Bombyx mori: one gene and its partner. Each later gene encodes a partner of the first gene's protein in a complex. Links are inferred from orthologs where the notes say so. Each region holds a gene or a part of one and is shown on either strand. Other genes may lie near its edges.

Region 1 (10,604 bases):
TTCGCCCCCTCATGACCTATGCAAGTGTAGTGTTCGCTCACGCGACCCGCACAAACTTGAAACCCCTTCAAATAATATAATCCCGTTCTTATAGGATAGCTGCCGGAGCCCCATGGTACATCCGAAACGTAGACCATCAGTAAGTATCTACATTCGGCATCAGTGTGCCATTTCGAGAAAGCGGCATGACACGAGACCTCTCATCGTAGCCACCGGTAAATAAATTCCCGATCCTGCGGGCCAAAAGGTAAACAGTAGACGTCACCCAAAACACGTCATTTCGGATCCACTCGATCCACTAACGGTGCTGTTAGGTACCCCAAGCACCAGTCATCGTTCTCGTCGAACCCGTTGCTTGCGACGAAAGGCTCAGCGAGTAAACTAACCCACAGACCACTGAGTTTCTCGCTGAATTTTCTCAGTGGGTCGCGTTTCCAATCCGATGGTAGATTCTGCAAAGCACTGCTCTTGCTAGGGTTAGTGCTAGCAACGTCGTCAGGTTTGAGCCCCGTGAGCTAATAGTTAAGGTTACTCTGAAATGGTCTCTCAAGAACATCAGCTTAGGAAAAAAAAAATGGTATGTACCTATACTACCTATCTGTAGGCTCAAGGGCGGATCCAGCTTTGGCGCCAAGAGGGGGTCACATAATCAAATTTTCGATGCGCTCGTTCCCAAACGCTTGCCATCATACAAAGTTATTAAATTATATTAAATTAATTAAATATTGAAGGTATGTAGTTACATAAAATCTGTATAGTGACAAAATATATAAATAAAATCATTATGGTCAATTAGTGGTTCACCTAAGTCCTGGAACCAGCTCAGGGGGGGGTCATGACCCCATGACCCCCCCCGGGATCCGCCGTTGTGTAGGCTATGAATGAAAATTAAATCTAGTGAAGTAAAATTAAGTGTAATATTATTATAATATATATTATATTCTTGATCCAGGCGGTAAAGTATTTGAGAGTCGTCCTGGATGACGTGATCTGCAAGTGGGGAAAAAGTGCTTTCGCAATAAGGTGTCATTTTACAAAACTTAAACGCGGCCTATACTGACTTATGAGTATGATTCGGTGACACGGCCGACACGCACATAGACTTCCACCAGGGAATTCAATCTCTGTTTTGTTCGAATAGGTTTTAGCAATCTTTCTTCTCTTTGCGAGAGTTTTTACCCGCCCAAGTGTCCTAGCTAGGCGGTAAGAACATGCCGCGCCGTAATCCTTCCACCCAAAAGAAAAACAAAAAAGCTAAAAGCATAATAGATGTCAGTTTCAATTTTCTCATTTTATTGTAATCCTTTTAAATTCACTTAATTATCATCATTAATTTATTATAAATGGAACAGCAATTTTATTTTTATATTGCCTACAAGTTGAGCAAAGAAAGAACTTTCAGCTATTCAAATAAAAAAATGGCGTATAAGCTTAGCGTTCTTTGCCTTTCCTAGTGAATCAAACAAAAAAAAGAGATTGGTTTGGAATTCTTCAACTCAGTGCCAAATTGGTAGCAATCGTTCGTCCGCCATTATTGTTTGGCGACTTAACGTTGTCGAAGTCCAGTGAAAATAAAAAATACCATTGTAAGTACATACAACTTGTTGATCTTGAATAGAATAAAAACTTATAATTTAGAGCTATAATTATTATTATGACTAAATAATTATTTAAAAACGTGCGTTATTGTAACACGTGCCAAATTATTATCCAAAAGCCGGTAGAAACTATTGTTTAGCGTCAACATAGAAAAAATAAAAAAAATAGTTTTACTTTATCTTTATCTTTACTGTTAAGTATAGATGTTAAAATAAAATGTATTCATCCAGTTATTGCTACTGGTAAAGCATTGTTAAAATAGTTTTTAGTTCGAAATGTATAATAGAGAATCAACTTCGGACATAGCTTTTAAGATTAAAATTGCAATATGATAGGAACAAATATCTTCAGTATTTAATATAACTTTATCATTAAAAAAACGGTTGAACCAAATAGCCATGCTGTTTATAAAAATTTCAATCTACCTTCCAAAACTACTTGATAAAAGTTAATGGAAAATGAAGGTCACAATGAAAAATTTTAATAAAAAAATTACTTTGCAGGTAATGGATGATGACTGGGATGATTCCTGTGAAGCTGTTGTAAGTCATCAACTATAAAAAATAAAAATGATTTTTTTGATAATAATACCTAAAATAATAATATATCTTTAACAAAATGTGAATTTTCTCCATATTATTATATTAAAGTCACATAATATTTGAATAGTTTGGTTCAATTTCCTTCATGGTAATATGTGTGCAAAGCTTCAAGAGAACATTTAAAAAGGTCAAAATTATGTGCTCTTTTAATATTTAACATTTTAGTCTATTTTTTGTTCCATGGAATAACTTAAGAACCACAGCGTTGGAGCTTATGGATATCACAATGTGTTACCATCCTCCTTTGGGACCAGTGGTAAAAGTCTCAATCAAATGGTATTGTAAACCGATTGTCCCACAATATGAACCCTTCACCTATTTGCAGGCTAATTATTTGACCTATAACTGATAATTAAGCAAATCAACACTTCTCATTAATGATTTTTACCACATGATGATCTCAAACTTGTGTAAAGCACATATTTTCATAAAAATAACTGGACCAAGCCTGCAGGATACAATTTCTGGAATATGAAATGAAATTTTAATGTCATAAAATTCAGTAACTTTTTGGTGTTTAATGATTTTCCTGGTTTTCACAAGCTGCAGACATAATTAAAATTACTTTAATTAATCTTATTATCTGTTGTCTGCATTCTAGGTGGTGCCACCTCCCCCACTACAGAACCATGATTCTGTAGATGAAGGTCACAGTCTATCCAGAGGAAGAGGATTTCCTTCCTTCAATGAGGATGGTAAGAATTCAGTATTTTTCATTTCTGCTTTTAAAACTGATAGTAACATATTAACTTAAATTACATTTGAATACTGCATAGAAACATAAACTAAGGGAATGAAATTAAGTGCTTGTTCTTGATATAAGATTTTGTGTATCTTACCTTTGCTTAGCTATTTTATATTAAGGGTTAAAGTATGAAATTGCCGATTTGTACTGAAAAATTGAAATTCGTTCTTTTTTTTCATTTAACATATTTTTTAATCAAAATATCTACCATTATTATCTATACATTGCTGCCATCTAATAGGAAGGTAATTTATGCCTTTGTGATAGAACTCTGGTGGTCTATATTCTACAAACTGTCAAAGCATTTTGTCCTGGGAAGCAAACTTTTTATAACATAGAAAATTGTCCAAATCACGAAAAAAATGCTAGTCCGTTCGAGCAAGGTTTGGCGAATATGGAGGGTGACGAATGGTTTCTTATTGCAGTTCCTGTAGAGTTAAAACGGTTTCTCGTGCTGTATGAGGTCTCGCGTTATCATGGAGCAATGATGGTGAAGATCGATTCATGAGTCGAGGCTGTTTCACTGCAAATTTTGCTTTCGTTGTTCGGATTTCGGCACAGTAGACATCTGCCGTTATTGCTTGACCAGATCGGAGAAAGCTATAGTGAATAACAACGTGCTGAGACCACCAACAGTTACCATTACCTTTTATTGGTAAACTTTGCTTTAGGACACTGTTGCAGCGTTTGACCTGGGGTCAGCCATTGCCTCTTTCTCTTACGGTTAACGTAAGGAATTCACTTTTCATCACATGTCACAATTCGATCCAATATTCCGTCATATCTGTATCGATTCAACAAGGCAACACAAGTTTCAACGCGTTTCTTTCTGCAGACCAGTCAAATCATAAGGGACCCCCGTTTTTCATATTTTTTTTATTTTATTGATTTAACGCATATGAGTCAACATCATTGGTAAGGTAACGTTAAACCATGCCGCAAATCCCTGGGTAGTATGGGTCGGATCGGCTTCCAACATCTCTTTCAATTCGTTCGTTCTTCAAATCAAAATTTCCATCACGAAAGCGTTTAAAACAAAATCGCACGGTGCGGTCATTAGCAGTCTCCGCTCCAAACGCAACATTGATATTGCGAGCTGTTTCTGCAGCGTTAGTTCCGCGTCGGAACCCTTATTAAAATATCACTCGAATTTTCGAAGTATCGCATCTTTTTCGTCTAAGCTGAATAAAAAAAAGCAACTGAAAGTCGAATCGAATTTTGCACATTTTTTAAACAAAGAACCTCATAGAATGGTACCATTTGAAAAAAGTTTCACCCAAAAATCTCAAACCGTGAAGCTTCTATGTCAATTCGAAGTACCAATTACAATAGAATGGCAATTTCATACTTTGACCCCTTTTATTTTTACATGTTTCACATTCACATTGTCTTGTCAATAAAACTGAAAGCTTTTACTGGGTATGATAAAAACTCCACTATAGCTATTTTTTGCTAAGAAAATTTAATCAAAAACATTATAATAAATATATATAACTAAATCAGAACTGTAAAAAGCAGATTATGATATTAATATTGAAAGAAGTATTAACAAAAACATATTGTAAGGCTGGTTTGGTGTCAATAAATTTTTGAATTGAGTTGCCACTTAAGTTTTCTTTAGGCACTTATGATGCTTTAATTAACTCTGGTTAAGCACTTAAGCATGGAATTTTAAGTATCCACAGCTGAACCCAAAAATAAAATGTATGTTGACATATGCTGAAAGCAGTTTTTCAACTCTAATAGCATTGTAATAATGTGATAGATATTGTTATTGGAAAGTATTCCTTTGGGTTACTTGATTAATTTGAATCTTTTCTCACTTGCATGAATGTAAAAAATTCAAAACAATTTCATTTTATCAAACTAAATATGTGAATAACTGAAATATATAACAAAAAGTCTGACCTATGTTTCTGTGTGGTCATGCATGCATTTTCTGTCATTGACTTCTTGAACCTGTTTTCTGCAGCATTGTTATTATAGACATTATTTTCTCAATAATATAAAGTCTTAATACTGCACTGATTAAAGCTACAAAAAATATATAGTTTAAATCATCAGTAAAATTTAATATTTCTAGAAGAAACATTTGAATTTTAGATGAAAAAGAGAATGGGTATGGTGAGCGACGGGGTCGAGGTGGCCGAGGCGGAGGACGAGGACGCGGCGGAAGAGGTGGACGTGGAGGGTCACGAGAACAGCACAGCGACTATGAGACTAATGGTAATAGACACAAATATCAAAAATTAAACTCCATATTATCCATGGATATTGAATTATTTATTGTTTGCAATTATTATTTATATTGTCTCATAAATGGTATGAATATTGTATATAATTATAGGTGACCATGATGATAGGGGTCGTGGCGAACGTGGCCGAGGCCGCGGAAGGGGAGGACGTGGTGGTGGTAGAGGTGGTGGTGGCGGAGGAGGCGATAGAAATGATTATGAAGATAATGAAATAGGGGAAAACGGGGAAACGAAGAAGCCGGTAACCTATGTGCCTCCAGAACCAACAAATGATGAGACGGAAATCTTTAGCAGTACTATAAGCTCTGGTATTAACTTTGACAAGTTTGACCATATTGCAGTAAAAGTAAGTACCTAAGTAATTTGTTGTACTCTCAAACAGTTTTAAAGTAACTATAGCAAGTAAATTACTTTTTAATACTTAATAATAAAAAGAGCTTTTTTTTTTCATAGTACAAAAGTTTTGATGAAATATTTTAACCTCGTACTAAAGAAAATAAATTCGTTTTATAGATCATAAAATGCTAAGTCTACAAATATGAGTATTTCCCTATATTTATGATGCAAATCAAATCTCTAATGTTATGTTTACTTCATAGAATGTGAATGCATCCATCCAATGCATGCAATTATCTATTTTAGAAAGAGCCAACACTATAAAGCTGGTGAAAACCATGGCTCTCTTGTCAATCTCTCAGTTAAAAACATTGTTATTCTCTGTCTAATATTGAATACTAATTTAATTTGCAGGTCAGTGGTGAGAATCCTCCGAGACCTATCGAAAGTTTCGAAACTGCAAATCTCAGAAAGTATGTTTTAGATAATGTACTTAAGGCTGGTTATAGAAAACCCACACCTATTCAGAAAAATGCAATCCCAATCATAATGAGTGGCAGAGATTTGATGGGTTGTGCCCAGACTGGTTCGGGTAAAACGGTAAATTTGAACTGTTTAATATACACAGTAATTCAATCCACTTTTAGTCTTTAGTCTTGCGTCTTTTTAAGTATTTCTTTTCCTTTAAAAAAAATTTTTTTTCCCATATTTTTCACCTTTCACATACTTTAACTGGGCCATCGTCAGTCAATCGTGCATGACCGCGAAAACTGCAGGAAACGAAAATAATATGGTAATCAAAATAAATAAATAAACCCGAGATTAAACTGTAAAACTAGTTTTAATTACGCTCACGACTCGCGAAAACCTTAAAAATAAGTAAATTACAAAAGCGAAAATAACTATTCAAAATTATTGATACAAACCTTCTTTTACAATAATTCAGTCGATTTTTTCTTTCAGGCTGCTTTTTTGGTACCCATAATTAATATGTTATTACAAGATCCAAAGGATCTGATCTCAGAAAATGGCTGCGCCCAGCCACAGGTGGGTAAATTTTTATTTTATTTTGAAAAGTAAGAATATTGTAAAGCATTTTTTGTTGTAATGTTAAATTAATTTTAGGTTATAATAGTATCTCCAACGCGAGAATTGACTCTTCAAATATTTAATGAAGCTAGGAAATTCTCATATGGCTCAGTTTTGAAGGTTGCAGTTGCTTATGGTGGCACTGCTGTGCGCCATCAAGGTGATAACATTGCTGTGAGTATTTCAATATTCAACTATTCAATATAATTTCAGTAAAACAGTTAAACATGCAATAGAATAACGTTTTTAGGGTCTAGGTTGAGTTATGAATGAAAGACTTATGTTACTAAATAATCAGCAGAATAATTAAGATAAACAATGTTTAATATTACTTACTAAGTTTGTATTAAAATAGGTCAAGATGATTGTATAAATACCGGCGGTTAGCATATTATGTTGATGTTGCATTCGTATTTTACCCGCCGTAACGTGTACTAAAGAATATATTATTTCGTGTGGATGTAACTTTTCTAGTAAGAAATTAGTGATCCTTAAAAATATATAAATTAGTTAGTCAACTACAACATTATTACTACAACCCTTTCTGCATCCTGGTTGAGCTATCAACTTCCTATATCTACAGCATTATTCAACATACAATATTATTATCATCATTTTAAATCCGAAATATAGTAAAAAATAAAACTTAATACACAGAGAGGCTGTCACATATTGGTAGCAACACCAGGCCGTCTTCATGATTTTGTGGAAAGGAATCGTGTATCATTTGGCAGTGTAAGATTTGTCGTACTGGATGAGGCTGACCGTATGTTAGATATGGGGTTCATGCCAAGCATTGAAAAAATGATGTTACATCCAACCATGGTGGAGACCGTAAGTTAATTAGTAATTAATCTTATTTATTATGCCAATTAGTAACTTAAATAAAATATAATAAAATAATTCTTAATGTGCAACTATTTAGTTTTAAAAATTGTGGGAATAAAGAAAATGGTGTTTAAAATATGAAATGGTCAATTTATAACTGATGGTCAATGGTACCTTTTTGTTTTAATAATTTCATATTCTTTCACTTAATGAATGAACCATGAGGGAGATCAGACAGGTAAATAATGATGAAATAAAATGAAAGCCAATGTCCAAGGAATTACTCATTACTTTATATTAGCTTATAACATCACTAATTCATTGGTACCAAATTGATTGCTTTAAAAGAGGGAGAAGCGACTTCCACTTAAATGAAATATTATGAATGTATAGAGGCACAAGGTGGTTTTGATTTGCTGAGTAGGTATAAAATTACAGTTAATTTTTATTCCTACTCACTGGTTACTTGTCAGTTAACACACTACCTACTTTGTATCAGACTGTAAGTGATCAAGGGAAAAATACACAATGCGAAGCTTGTGGTAATCACCACATCAATATAATATCAGATGTCTATTAAGAACTTTGATTAATGATTATCTCCATCATTATAGAAAATACGCAACTAATCAACTAACTTTTAAACTCAATATTTAATTTTAATTTTATAATTTAATTTTTTTTTCCAATTCGGACCTTTGATTAGAAATTATATTTCACTCATCAAATTTAGCTTTCACCTTTTAATGAACTACGTAAAAATATGTGAAAGAGAAAATTACTCTTAGAATATGTACAAAATGTCTCTCGATATTGCAAAGTTTGCATAGACCTTGAGAGGATATTTTCTTTGATTAATATATACAATTTCTCTAAAAATAGGATATATTTTCATATTCATCATACATTATTATAATGAGATATTGTTATGTCAATATCTCATACTTTAACCTAAAATAAAATAATAGAACTACTATAATATATAATAATACTATTAATTGGCGACTATTATCAGCGGATCCTGTTCGCTTGTAATATATTGGAGTCACATACATGCTTTGCATTCAATGATAATACTCGACCAAAGATATATTTGTGTACATTGGGGATTTAAAATTACTAATTAAACTGAACTTCTACACACTCCTTTACCCAGTTTTTATAAAACCACATAAACATGTAAATAGTTTTGTAATAATACAAGAAGAAATTATATATTTCTAAGAAAATTAAAATTGTGCTTTATATCCACTGCAGACGAAAAGGCAAACTTTAATGTTTTCGGCAACATTCCCCGAAGACATCCAACATTTGGCTGGTCGTTTCTTAAATAATTATCTATTTGTGGCGGTTGGTATCGTCGGAGGCGCTAGCACTGACGTCGAACAAATCTTCATTGAAGTCACTAAATATGAAAAACGGAACAGTCTAAAACAACTGATTGAGGAAAATGGTGAGAAAATATTTTAATAATATAGTCCATAATTCCAGAAAAAGTGAATTGTTGTTGTTCTTTCTTATTTTCATGTCATCTTATAAAACAATCATTACAGATGGTAAAAGAATCTTGGTATTTGTCGAAACAAAACGTAATGCAGACTTCATAGCAGCCATGTTGTCGGAACAGCAATTGCTGACATCTTCAATTCACGGCGATCGCATGCAACGTGAGCGCGAGGAAGCGTTACAGAATTTTAAGAGTGGGAAACACTGTATCTTGGTTGCAACAGCTGTAGCTGCACGTGGTTTAGGTAAACATCATTTAATTTTTATATTGTTTTTTTTTTGTTATTATAATGTTTACAATGCCTAGTTCAGTTCCAATCTGCCAAGAAATCCGAAAATCATAAAGATTAATGTACTATCATTTTTTTTATATAATAATGGTAATAATAGACGTTTATTCCGCCTAAGCAATAAAACAACTTTTGATGTACCGACATGCAATTTTTGTCACTAGTTAAACTTTGAACAACTTTAATTAAAACAATGAAAATGAAAACTAAATATCATATAACTAATTTATACCGCACTATCGACTGTCAAGCACTGTAAACACCGGTTATTTTTAAAAGAATGCTCAGTTATTAGTTTGTAAATTAAGAAAAATCTTAATTTACAAACTAATTGAGCATTAATATCTGAAAATATTAATTTCAATGAACATTTAAAAAACTGTTCATTGAAATTAATATTTTATTACTTCAAGGGGGGTGGACGCGCTCACGGCCCACCTGGTGTTAAGTGGTTATGGGCCCATAGACATTGTAACAAGGTGAATACCGACATAGTCGCATTGCTCGATATGAATGGACTGTGTGACCCTTTAGCCCAGTGGCTCTCAAACTAAGAGTCGCAACCCCTTTGGTGGCCGTGAGAAGGTTGTTGGACGTCACTATTTTTTAATTTTTCGGTCGGTTTTAGTAGCTCGTATATACCACTCCCTCCGTATTTAGGGGTCTTCTAAGCTTTTCTCTACTGAAGGCGTCGTAGTGGAAAAAAGTTTGCGCAACACTGCTTTACAATAGTTTTTTTTAATACAAAAATTGTATACTTGGTTCTGCCACCCAACACATACATATACATATAAAGTTATCCAGGTTCAGTGAAACATCGATTTCAGTACAACTTGCAGTTGTTCCATCCATATTCTAAGCTTAAAGGAGGTGGTAGAGAAAGCAAAATTTTTGAATATCTACTTTATTTTCAAATTTATCCAATTTTTTTCTCACAAGAAGTTGACGGAGTTACTTTATATTTTTTTTTTATTTTCAGACATTAAAAATGTAGACATTGTAGTGAATTATGACCTCCCAAAGAGCATTGATGAGTATGTGCACAGAATAGGGCGTACTGGTCGCGTAGGAAACAGAGGAAAAGCCGTATCGTTTTATGATTCTGATCAGGTAATTAAATTATAATAAATTGAATGATTCAGTTGAGAAAATCTGATTTAAATACAATGTTTATTCGATGAACACTGATAATAAAATACACTCAATAAATTAGAACATAAACATTAATCATTTTTTTACACTGTATAATTCATACAATAGCTTCTATTTATATTTATAACAAATAAAACTTCTCTTTTTATTTCAGGATTTAGCCCTAGTGGCTGATCTTTCAAAAATACTTCGACAGGCAGAT
Region 2 (10,426 bases), on another chromosome or scaffold:
ACTTTGGTTTGAAGGGTGGCTGTAAGAACTAACTAGCTGTAAGTACTCATTTATCAAGGTGAGTAGTCGGTATTAAGTTGTTGATGTGCATGAGCTCCGGTAACCTCTTTTACAGCAGGTGGGCCGTGAGCTCGTCCACTCATCTAACCAATAAATAAAAAATAATAATGGTTACTCAATGCCTTAGTCACCACATTGTTTTTACCGCCACCCACGTTGACATATGAGGTTAAATTCTTGTTTGTATTGTATTTGTAGGCTATCTCACCCTTCAAACCGTAACGTATGACTGTTTCCCATTCAGATATAGGCAGGATGGTAGAGCCTATCCGCGTGGATAGATGAATACGTGTTACTTAGGACTACATTATGCCAATGTAAAAATTATGCTGGTTTGAATTTAGACGATGCAATTCAATAGTCGTGGAAGTCATTTGTCTATACGTGCCAAGTATGTATTACCATAGAAAAATTGGTAGCTGCCTTGACGAATGGGTAGATTCAAGACGCTCTGTGTACTCTGATTGTGTACCACATTACACTAGGTGTCTTACTCATTACGCCATTACGAGCTGAAACTTTATCCTTGTTTTATATAGTTAAGTCAACGTCATGACCGGTCTAGGATATCAATCGATTTGTAAGGGATAAACAAAATGCTAAGTCGCTGTGGAGATTACGTGTACAGGTAGGTATGCACGGACAGTTACATTCTACGTGTGTCGAAAGCGTCCAAAGGTCGTTATTCGCAATTGAAACTTTGTCCTCGTGTCCCAGGATCAGAGCTGGCATTCCATTATCGTGTTTATGACCTCCGTTAGCCGCTTAGCCAATGGTAGGACATGAGCAGGTGCACGCCAAAAAAATACCAAAACTTTTTTTTTAAACCTGCTGAATATTCGCTTAATATCGCCAATTGGTGATGGTGCAGTTACGCCGTTTAGAAACTAACAAAAGTTAGTAGCGATGATAAATACAACGTGGAACCGGGTGGTCGACTTTTGGAGTTGAATATACTTCGTTGTAAATGCTCAGGTATTCTTGCGTATAATATTTTACATTTAGTATTGACATTTGAGGTAGGTAAGTAGGCACAAACTTCGGCAAAGGGGACGCGACGACAATACTTTCAAATCTGAATAAGCATTTTGAGGTTCAAAAGAATGCAAACTTTTGAATGCCCCGTTTCTTTTAGGTTCATTCAATAAGTTTAAGCTTCCTTGCACTTTTGAAAGCGTTCAATGATGTTTTATTTCTCCAATTTATTTGTGCGTTTATTAATCGGATTTTTTTTATGATGTTTTTTTAAATCTGGTGCGTAATTATTAATAATTATTGGAGCTGAAGCAGTCGCTAAGTTGGAGATCAGCGTGTGCCGCCGATGAACACGTGTTGTCACAGATAAATATAACCAACGGTTCAACGCACCGGGGGAGCGGAGCGTCCGGCTAACCTACAACTAAATTTATAGTTTAAAAAGTATGACCAACCAATGTTTAGACGCTCTACGTAAATTCTATCTACACCGAAATTTTGTGTCAGATTTTGTCCTTTTAATAGTTTACATCAGCAACGTTCCAGATGTGATCTGGTACGAGTAAACTCGGACTAAAAAGCGATATTTATATTTTTAACAGAATTGGATAGAATTTATTAGTTATTTAAGTGTTTTCAGTGTTGTGTTGGGCAATGAGAATTCAAATTTATATATTGGCGTATTACTGATGATATGCGTATTTATGTAGGTATTGTAAGCTCGCACCTACCACCCTGCCTATTGCTCCTGCGAAGCATTTTGCATTCCGATTTGAATGGTGGCATAGCCGTTAAATAATACAAATGGAGACTCGACTCGTTCATCGACAGTGCGTTTCCAAATATCTTTTTTGTCACGCACCATCCGGCTTTGGAATGAACTCCCCTCCACGGTGTTTTCCGAGCGCTATGACAGTCCTTCTTCAAACGAGGCTTACGGAGAGTACTTAATGGTTAGCAGCAGCTTGGCTCTGCCCCTGGCATCGCTGACGTCCATGAGCGACGGTGACCACTTACCATCAGATGGGCCGTATGCTCGTCTGCCTACAAAGTCAATAAAAAAACAAAGACTTCGAACTATCACACTATAGCGGCGGTTTAGGCGTAGTAAGTGGGTAGATAAGTCATACTATTGTTGAATCGCTATTAATTGGTAATTTGATTAAAAAATCTAAATGATTTAGGAATATTGATTATTTTGTATGGTAGCCTCGGATTTCGTATGTGGACCTTATATATACATACATTTCCAGTGATATTTGAATGAGCCAAAGAAGTTTGATTAGAAGAAGTGATATTTGAAGAGTCAACGAAGGAAATAAAGATTCGGTGAATAAATATAAAAAAAAAAAAATAGAATGATTCATAAAATTGTGGTAAGGACCCTTTACCACAGCACTATACTATAAACGTAAAATTGTATTGTATATTTTCGTCCAATTTAGTTGTAGGTATGCGTCGTACCATTTTCTTTTTATTTCGAATGAATCCAATTTGGTTAATTAAAAAACGTTCGTGCATCAAAACTGTTAACGAAACGTAGCCTGTAAAAGTTGGGCCATTATGACAGCAAGAATTTTAATGAAATTTGATATTGCTTCATCAAATTTGATTAAAAGACTTTCTTTTTATTTTGCACGAAGTAGGTAGAGTCGCATTCAAAAGATCACTTGATATACTTGTAAGGCTACATATTTGAAGTAGCACGCCAGGTTTTAAATGACAATATGAGACGTAAGTGGCGAAAGTTGAAAATATACGGAAGGTCAAAAAGAAGTTTATCAACATATTGCGTTAACTTTTCACGTAAATTCTTATAACTGAAAATATATATGCCACAAGTCCACTAAAATTAAATCAAGAATGCACGCAAAAAAAAATCGCTCCGGTTCGATTTATCGTTTTAAACTACATACTTTAATTTTTAATATCAATCTGTAGATAATAATGGTGTGGCTTTTTTAGTAGTGACGGGCTACACAGTCCGCGATTGATTATATAGGATGGAATCATGTGAATAACCGCACTCAAATCGTTTTTTATGTACCCACATCGCGATTTAGACAAAGAGGTTCACATGACCTTGCAGGCGTGTGCTGGGCTGACGAACGCGGAAGAACAGTGCTGCCTACGAGTTTTACGAATTAAGTACCATATCCATTATAATCATGGTATTTTTTTGGGAATATTTCAAAGGTTCATGGTTTGCTTTATTTAATTGAACAGTCATAGGAGGGAACTAAATAATTATTGCGCCATAATAATTAACAATTTTTATCGATATAATGTTATATAATTGTATAATTGAATTTCTAGTAAAACATCATTTACTGACATAGCATATGTGTAAATAAACTACTATTAAAATTAAAAGATCGCATCTATCATAATTTTATTGAGGTCTAGACGCATATTCGTGTACACAAACGATATCAAATTTACGAATTATCGATTCGATAAACGTGTCTAGTTCGTACTGCCAGTCAGCAACAATATAAAGTGCAATGAACCGTAAATTTGGCAGCATTTGCACCATTAAAGCGTGTTTGCAAAGCTTCTCTATTACTGTGTAGGATATTGTGATCGCTTTTGTCTTCGGCTTGCTTACACGTTAATGCAGCTCTGCCACTTTATTTTTAACGGTGTTGCCACTGCGGGAATATTGTTTCGAACAAAGCAGACTTCGCGTTGATGAGTGAAAGAATTTATTTCTTCCATGTAAATAGAAACTACCGAAGTTCGAAATAAATACAAGTAAATAGTTTGAATTTGGATTGGTTAATGTTTAGGACACTTGGCCCTGTCATAATAATGTTTCGCGTACTAGTTACAGCGAACTCGAATGAGTCGTTGAAGATTCTCGGAAATGACGAGTGTTGGAGATGACGCTTTCTGACTCGTGCTCCGTACTAAATAGTACTAAATATTACGAGCCGGGGGACAGACAAAAACGTACGTCTAGTGCTAATCGAATAAGGAAAAGCAAATTTAAATTGATATGTAAAGAAACAAAAAATATGTTCACTTGCAAACCTCGAGTAAAATCCTTGAAGATGTAATAAGGAAGAATCATCCACGTCACTGCGGTTTAAAATTTGTAGCATACTAGCCGTCGTATATCAAATATATGTCAGAGTTACGGAATATTCCTTTTTCAGAGCGATTACAAAGTAAAAAGGGGACTGTTTTAATACTTTGCTTTCGTTTCCAGAGACGGCCAAAGTTGCGTGTCGACCACTGCTTACAATGAACCTCTATAAATTATTGTAATTCATATGCTTCTATGGATTTTTTAAGTAACCAATTTAATTTTCCTATTCCAGTTCTTTTTCTCTTTAGCGATGTTTGTGCATACTTAAGGTTGTTGAAAATATGGATTTAGCCCTTTTCTAATTATTCAGTAAAGAAAATCTAGTGTTAAGTGGTTATCGGATCATATCACAACAAGAATGCAACCTTGACAGATGAGGTTAAAATCTGAAACATATAGTAAAGCTGTTCCACTCTTAAAACCAGAAAGTATTTTTGTTTTGTGGTATAAATAGGGATGATAATAATACCTGCCCGTGTCGGCTTCAAAATACATGCCAGTAGCACGAATTCTGTTCCAAAAATTTTATGTAAGTATATTTTTACGCTTTCAATCAGATTACGGGCATTTTGTACCAATGTTCACATTGAACTCGAGTAAGTAGACGGGTTTTTTGATTCGTTTTCAAACCACGACCGTCAAACGACGCGGGTGGTATTGTGTAGAAAATAAACATTAAAATGTTACCCACATGGCTGCTGTTGGTGGTTTAGGGTCTTCGTTATAATTCTGTTAATTTCTAAAGTCTCAATCTGTTATGTTTACAACTACATTTATGTAAAAGAATTTTGTTTGTAAATAATGAGTTTTTATTATGAATCTTATTTTGTTATTGTTATGGGTGACATCATTAATTTTAATCATAATAACAAGCTGTTGAATAATTGTAAGTCATGATGTTTGTATTCGTAACATCAACTGGTTCTGTGAAATTACATAACAAACATTATAAGCTCTCTACACTGAGATTTTTGAACGCTAATTTCATGGATCCATTATTTATTACTTAGGTAGGTTTATTTTAAAACGTGGTCTAATTGTTCGTATGTTATATTATATATTTATTTTTTTATTCATGACAGGGTACATGGCAGAGAATTAAATATAATTCGATTCTATAATATATATACTATAGTAGTCTATTCGGGTATTGATCCTAGATTTACTTCTATTAAATTCAATAAATCGGACTAGGTTTTTTTTTATTAGCTTAATTGGACAGACCAACGACCCATTTGATACCAGCGGTAACGGAAGGCATAAATAATGAGGTGAAGCGATCACCGTGGTAAATATAGGCTATCCTACTCTTCAAACCGTAGTACTTGATTGGTACACGGCAGAAATAGACACGACGTTGCTACTAAGCCCGTGCTTACAACTGATGACTTTGCTTCTAATATTTAAGATACCGAAAGTTTACGAGTAAATAATAAGTAATGTAAATAATAAGAGTTAGATAGAATCATTAAGTTTTTTTAAATTTCTGTTGGACATGAGCTCACGGTCTGCTCGTACTAGAACCCATAGATGTTGCAACATGAATACTCTCATTAATCTTGAAACGTGAGTCTGAAGTTTCAATTCTTTTGTGTAGCAGCTGTCACACCATTGAAATCAGATCGAGTCAGAAATAGACAGGCTGGTGGTACCTGCACGTGTAAGCTTGAAGAATGCCCTGCCAGCATACAACTAGTACTACATACAAGTTATGTTGACGTAGATCTAAGTACTTTTATTATTAGGATTAACAAAAATATGTCACGTCTTCTTCTTTTGCAAAAGTTTCTATGGCTTGATTTAAACACATTATAAATAAAGGTTAGATCTTGTATTCTCTTTTTAAGTGGTTACTCATTATTAGAACAAGCGCATACACATTGATCGAGGCAGATGTGTGAAATAATTTTATGCAAATTACCTGGTTAGGTCAAGAGCAGCTGGCATTCCAGCCGGCACGAACCACCAGGATGGCAGCGGCGTGCACATCCGCTGTCGACGCTGCTCACGCGAGCATGCACCTCGCCGAGGTCCCTTCACTCACAGTCCAAAATAACCAGTCACACATTCACCACACGCGAGGAATCGTATCGCGTCGTTGTCAAAGCACTCTCATAATTTTTATGTCTTCTTTTAGACTTTACTTGACACTTTAATTTCAGTAAACTAGGAAATAAGTGAACAAGGAAGGCACCGATGGATTCGGAAAAAAAATCAGCCAAAAGTCAGCGCGTTACTTCACGCACCAGGAAATTTTGCTGTTCACAGAGCGAAATAATAATAAAAGTTGAGCACGACGAAAGGGCACAATCGATACCGAATGAATTTTTCGAAAAAACTTTAGGGGAGTCAATAATTAGAGGGAGCGACTTGAAGTGAATAAGGGTTGTAATAGCGCGCAAAGCTTGGGTCGATAAATTCCTTTTTTCGTACAATTCGAACGTCGTTTCTAATATTTATTTATTTCGATAAATATTTTCTATTTAGATCAAAAACAAAATGCTTAGATGTTAGATCGCGTGATAGCGGACGCGGTCGCTTTGCGAGGACGAGGCGCTCGGTCTGTGTGTCGTTTGGTGTTGGACTGCCGTCTGGCTCCGCTTCACCGCTTGGCTTTGACGTTGTTGAAACTAGAACGGACCGCGACGATGCTCGCTCCCGCCCCCGCTTCTCCCGAACTCCCAGAGTGCCATGTGCTCGAGATGCCCTATGATAGCGTGCCCTATCGCGGCGCTCGGGAACTTCACAAAGATTCGAGACGTGAAAAGAATTCATCACGAAACGAATTGGCCTCTGGCCTTTGATTTTAGTATTACAATAATGTAAAAGAGCGTATTAAATCCTATTAATATTTATTATTGAGTTCAATACAAATACTGTGAAATGTTAAGTTTTGATATAGTTAAAATATAGTTAAGGTTGTGTCCCTTTTGTTTTTATACACATTAGTGTTACGCGGTAAAAATAAGCAGATTAGATCGATGGACAGTACCTACTACAGATAGTTACAGCAAAACCAAAATCGTCCAAGGGATTATAATATACCCACAAGTAAAAAAGGGAATGAACGGTGTCACAAGTGCATCACAATTTGATCTTTTAAAAAGTATTTAAAGTGCTATACACTTGTAAATACATCCTCAACGTTGTGACTATGACTATCGATAAAAATATGAAACAAACAAGTCTATTAAAGCTGTATTAGCGTGACAAAAACCTTTCCTGAATAAGAATTGTATCAAATTTGACTTCGACCGGATAAAAAGAAGCGGGAGCCCACAAGTCACGAACGAATACGTCCACATTCATTCTTTATATATATATTTATACTAGCTTTTGCCCGCGACTTCGTCCGCGTTGAATAGTTCACAAATAACGCTTTATTTAAGAACAAATTTGGTTAGCATAAAAAACGTTATAGTGAGCCAACCTTAACATATAGACATATGCTGTCGCGAACTTTTTTTTAGATCTTTTAAAGGGGAACAATTCTGTCATACATTATTATAGCGAAACTTCAACTGTTTCTGCAGCGCACGCAGCGGAAACTCTCAAAAGGGAAAAAACCCGATATTGAAACATTCTCTATTGGTGCTCCGCTTGTATTGGTCTTAGCGTGATGTTATATAGCCTATGGCCTTCCTCAATGAATGGGCTATCTAACACTGAAATAATTTTTCAAATCGGACAAGTAGTTCCCGAGATTAGCGCGTTCAAACAAACAAACTCTTCAGCTTTATAATATTAGTATAGATTTACTACATTGTTATATTATTTACGTTGTCTGTGTTTATTCCAATATATAATACAATAGTTAAAAGTGTTGGAACATACTCACATTTATAATTATTTGCTCTATATTATTAAAAGATGTACCATTATTTTCAGAAAGGAATCAATACAAAATATAAAGACAGTATATTGAACGACGAACATAAGGCTTGTATTTATGTAGCGATGAAGCCCCACAGGACACTACAATATTGGTCATAAAACACTACGTAATGGACAATATTATTATGTTCAAGCTTGTGTTTGTATCTCGAAAATAGTCGCATATTAGAGAAAAGTAAGCAGTTCTTAGGCGGGCGACTGTAAATTTATAAGCATTACATAAATAATAAATAAATAAATAAATATTTACTAACAGTCACGCCACGTTAACTGGTCCCGTGATAAGTTCGTAAAGAACTTGTGTTACAAGTACCAGATAATGGAAATAAATATAAGATTTTTATTATACACATAAACATATTTAATATAGATCCATAACCCCGGAAAAGACATTTATATTAACATACAAATATCTTCCCTTGACGGGATTCGAACCCGCGACCCCCTTGTGTAGTGACCATGTCACTTACCACTACACCAGACGGCCGTTTATAGATAGAATAAAGAAATGAGTATGAAATTTTTTTTAAGTCTATTAAATTAAAAAAAAAAAAAAATTAAAAAAATTAAAAAAAAATTAATTAATTGCATTTCCTGTCACTTTAATTGTATTTAAATTATTGTTTCGTGTATGTTTATTTATATGTATTTTTCATTTTATATTAGATTTTTTTTTCAAAGCTTTATTTAATTGTCATGCTTTAATAGCTTTTATATTGTACACTTTTCCCCTCTTATACATCGTATTTCTCTCTGCTAATGGTTTGCTGGAAGAAAACACATGAATGAGTTAAGTTCGTCTTTGTACATAGTATTTAGACATTCTTTAAATCTGTTTTTATTGTATTTTCTTTTTGTGTACAATAAGTATAAAATAAGTATAAATAAAATGATTAAATTTTATATTTACCTAAAACCTCGTTTAAATAATAACACCCACCTATGTATGTCTAACCTACGTTGAAAATATGCTGTCCGATCGCTGTGTAAACAGTATTTCAGGGTTTTTCATCAAGTGAATGGCATTCACACGGCTAGTCATTGCATAATGTAATCAGAGGTAATCAAGCTGTTTCTGGGAACAGCCCGGAGTGAGTCAAGGATACCCATGATAAAATGCTAAACAGATCGTGCAACACGTTAAAACTTCATTAAGCTAAACGAAACCTATAAATTCGGTCAAATTGTACTTAACATACAAGACTGGTCGGCCGTCTGGCGTAGTGGTGACATGGTCACTACACAAGGGGGTCGCGGGTTCGAATCCCGCCAAGGGAAGATATTTGTATGATAAATATATATTGTCTTTTCCAGGGTTATGGATGTATATTAAATATATGTATGTGTACAATAAAAATCTTACGTTTATTTTCGTTATCTGGTACCTGTAACACAAGTTCTTTAACAACTTAGCACGGGACCAGTTAACGTGGCATGATTGTTAGTAAATATTTATCTATTGTTTTTTATTATATGATTGTGAAGATCACTTTAGTTTCATTGCATTTGATTCCCTTTTTATTGAATAAAATTCACTAAACACTAGATTATTTCAGTTTTTAGGGTTCTGTAACAAAAGGACAAAAAAGAGAACGTTTAAAGTTTCGTAATGTACGTCAGTTCGAATATTAAGGTCAGAGGTAATGATGACTAATATATGGCAATGGGCACGACAACACCAGAACATAAGGGGCTCTTTATGCTTCATTTTATTGAATAATCCGCACCTGACCTCTTCTTATTAAATAGAAAAGTTTTGTATCAGTGTTATTGTTTTAAAAGTTTTTTAAAATGCTGTTCGATTATTTTTTATCTCGATAGCTAAATAGACATGGGCACATAAGTCTTAGGCTCCCCGCGCACTAGGCAGCCTGGCTGCGGCAACCGAAATATTTGAGCAGCCAGTATAGAAACCAATCGACGTAAAAAACGCAAAGCAAAGAAAACACTCAGAAGGCTTATTCTATAACTATTTTAAAGATGTTCATACATACATAGCAGACCAGACCGGTTTTTGTAAATACAAGGGATTGTACAAGCATGCTGTGTCATATAACTAATATTTGGCAAAACGAATATGCATTGGCTACTACAGCAAGTGCGCGGGGACTGACAGCAGCCACATACATTTGGTGACACTCGCTCTGGCTGCCCACAGCCGATGGGCAGCCGTGCAACAGGCGCGTTGTAATGGCTGCCGCAGCCAAGAGTTCCGGGTTGCTTATGTGCGCGGGCTCCCATACAACGCCATATATTCGTTTGGCTGCCGCAGCCTGGTTGCTAGTGCGCGGGGAGTCTTAATGTCACTTCACCTCACCTTATTTAATATCTAGTATCATACTACATACTATACTTACTCATACAACTTCTGATCTCGGTGGAGTGGTGTAGCGAATGTAGCTACCA

Evidence for each region.
Region 2: the proteins of Vlg (region 1) and protein gustavus are in contact, whole or in part, in a crystal structure (PDB 2IHS), measured with the Drosophila melanogaster proteins. The link is inferred for Bombyx mori from reciprocal best matches to the Drosophila melanogaster genes vas and gus. Residues at the interface, in NP_001260458.1 of Drosophila melanogaster: Asp184, Ile185, Asn186, Asn187, Asn188, Asn189, Asn190, Val192, Glu193, Asp194, Val195, Glu196; in NP_001246140.1 of Drosophila melanogaster: Ser64, Leu65, Asn66, Arg79, His80, Pro81, Val82, Ala83, Ser85, Asp87, Gly112, Thr113, His127, Tyr131, Val218, Trp219, Gly220, His221.

The regions. Positions count from the first base shown.
Region 1 is NC_085125.1:8,258,030-8,268,633, reverse strand, and holds the start of Vlg (vasa-like), read left to right. Parts: upstream 1-1,502; 5' UTR 1,503-1,586; intron 1,587-2,102; 5' UTR 2,103-2,105; coding exon 2,106-2,141; intron 2,142-2,802; coding exon 2,803-2,896; intron 2,897-5,049; coding exon 5,050-5,172; intron 5,173-5,293; coding exon 5,294-5,547; intron 5,548-5,951; coding exon 5,952-6,137; intron 6,138-6,500; coding exon 6,501-6,584; intron 6,585-6,662; coding exon 6,663-6,800; intron 6,801-7,283; coding exon 7,284-7,460; intron 7,461-8,711; coding exon 8,712-8,907; intron 8,908-9,007; coding exon 9,008-9,205; intron 9,206-10,229; coding exon 10,230-10,360; intron 10,361-10,556; coding exon 10,557-10,604. UniProt on the Drosophila melanogaster protein: Involved in translational control mechanisms operating in early stages of oogenesis.
Region 2 is NC_085109.1:9,087,271-9,097,696, reverse strand, and holds the start of protein gustavus, read right to left. Parts: upstream 6,713-10,426; 5' UTR 6,116-6,712; coding exon 6,048-6,115; intron 1-6,047. UniProt on the Drosophila melanogaster protein: Involved in the localization of vas to the posterior pole of the oocyte. Required maternally in the germ line for efficient primordial germ cell formation.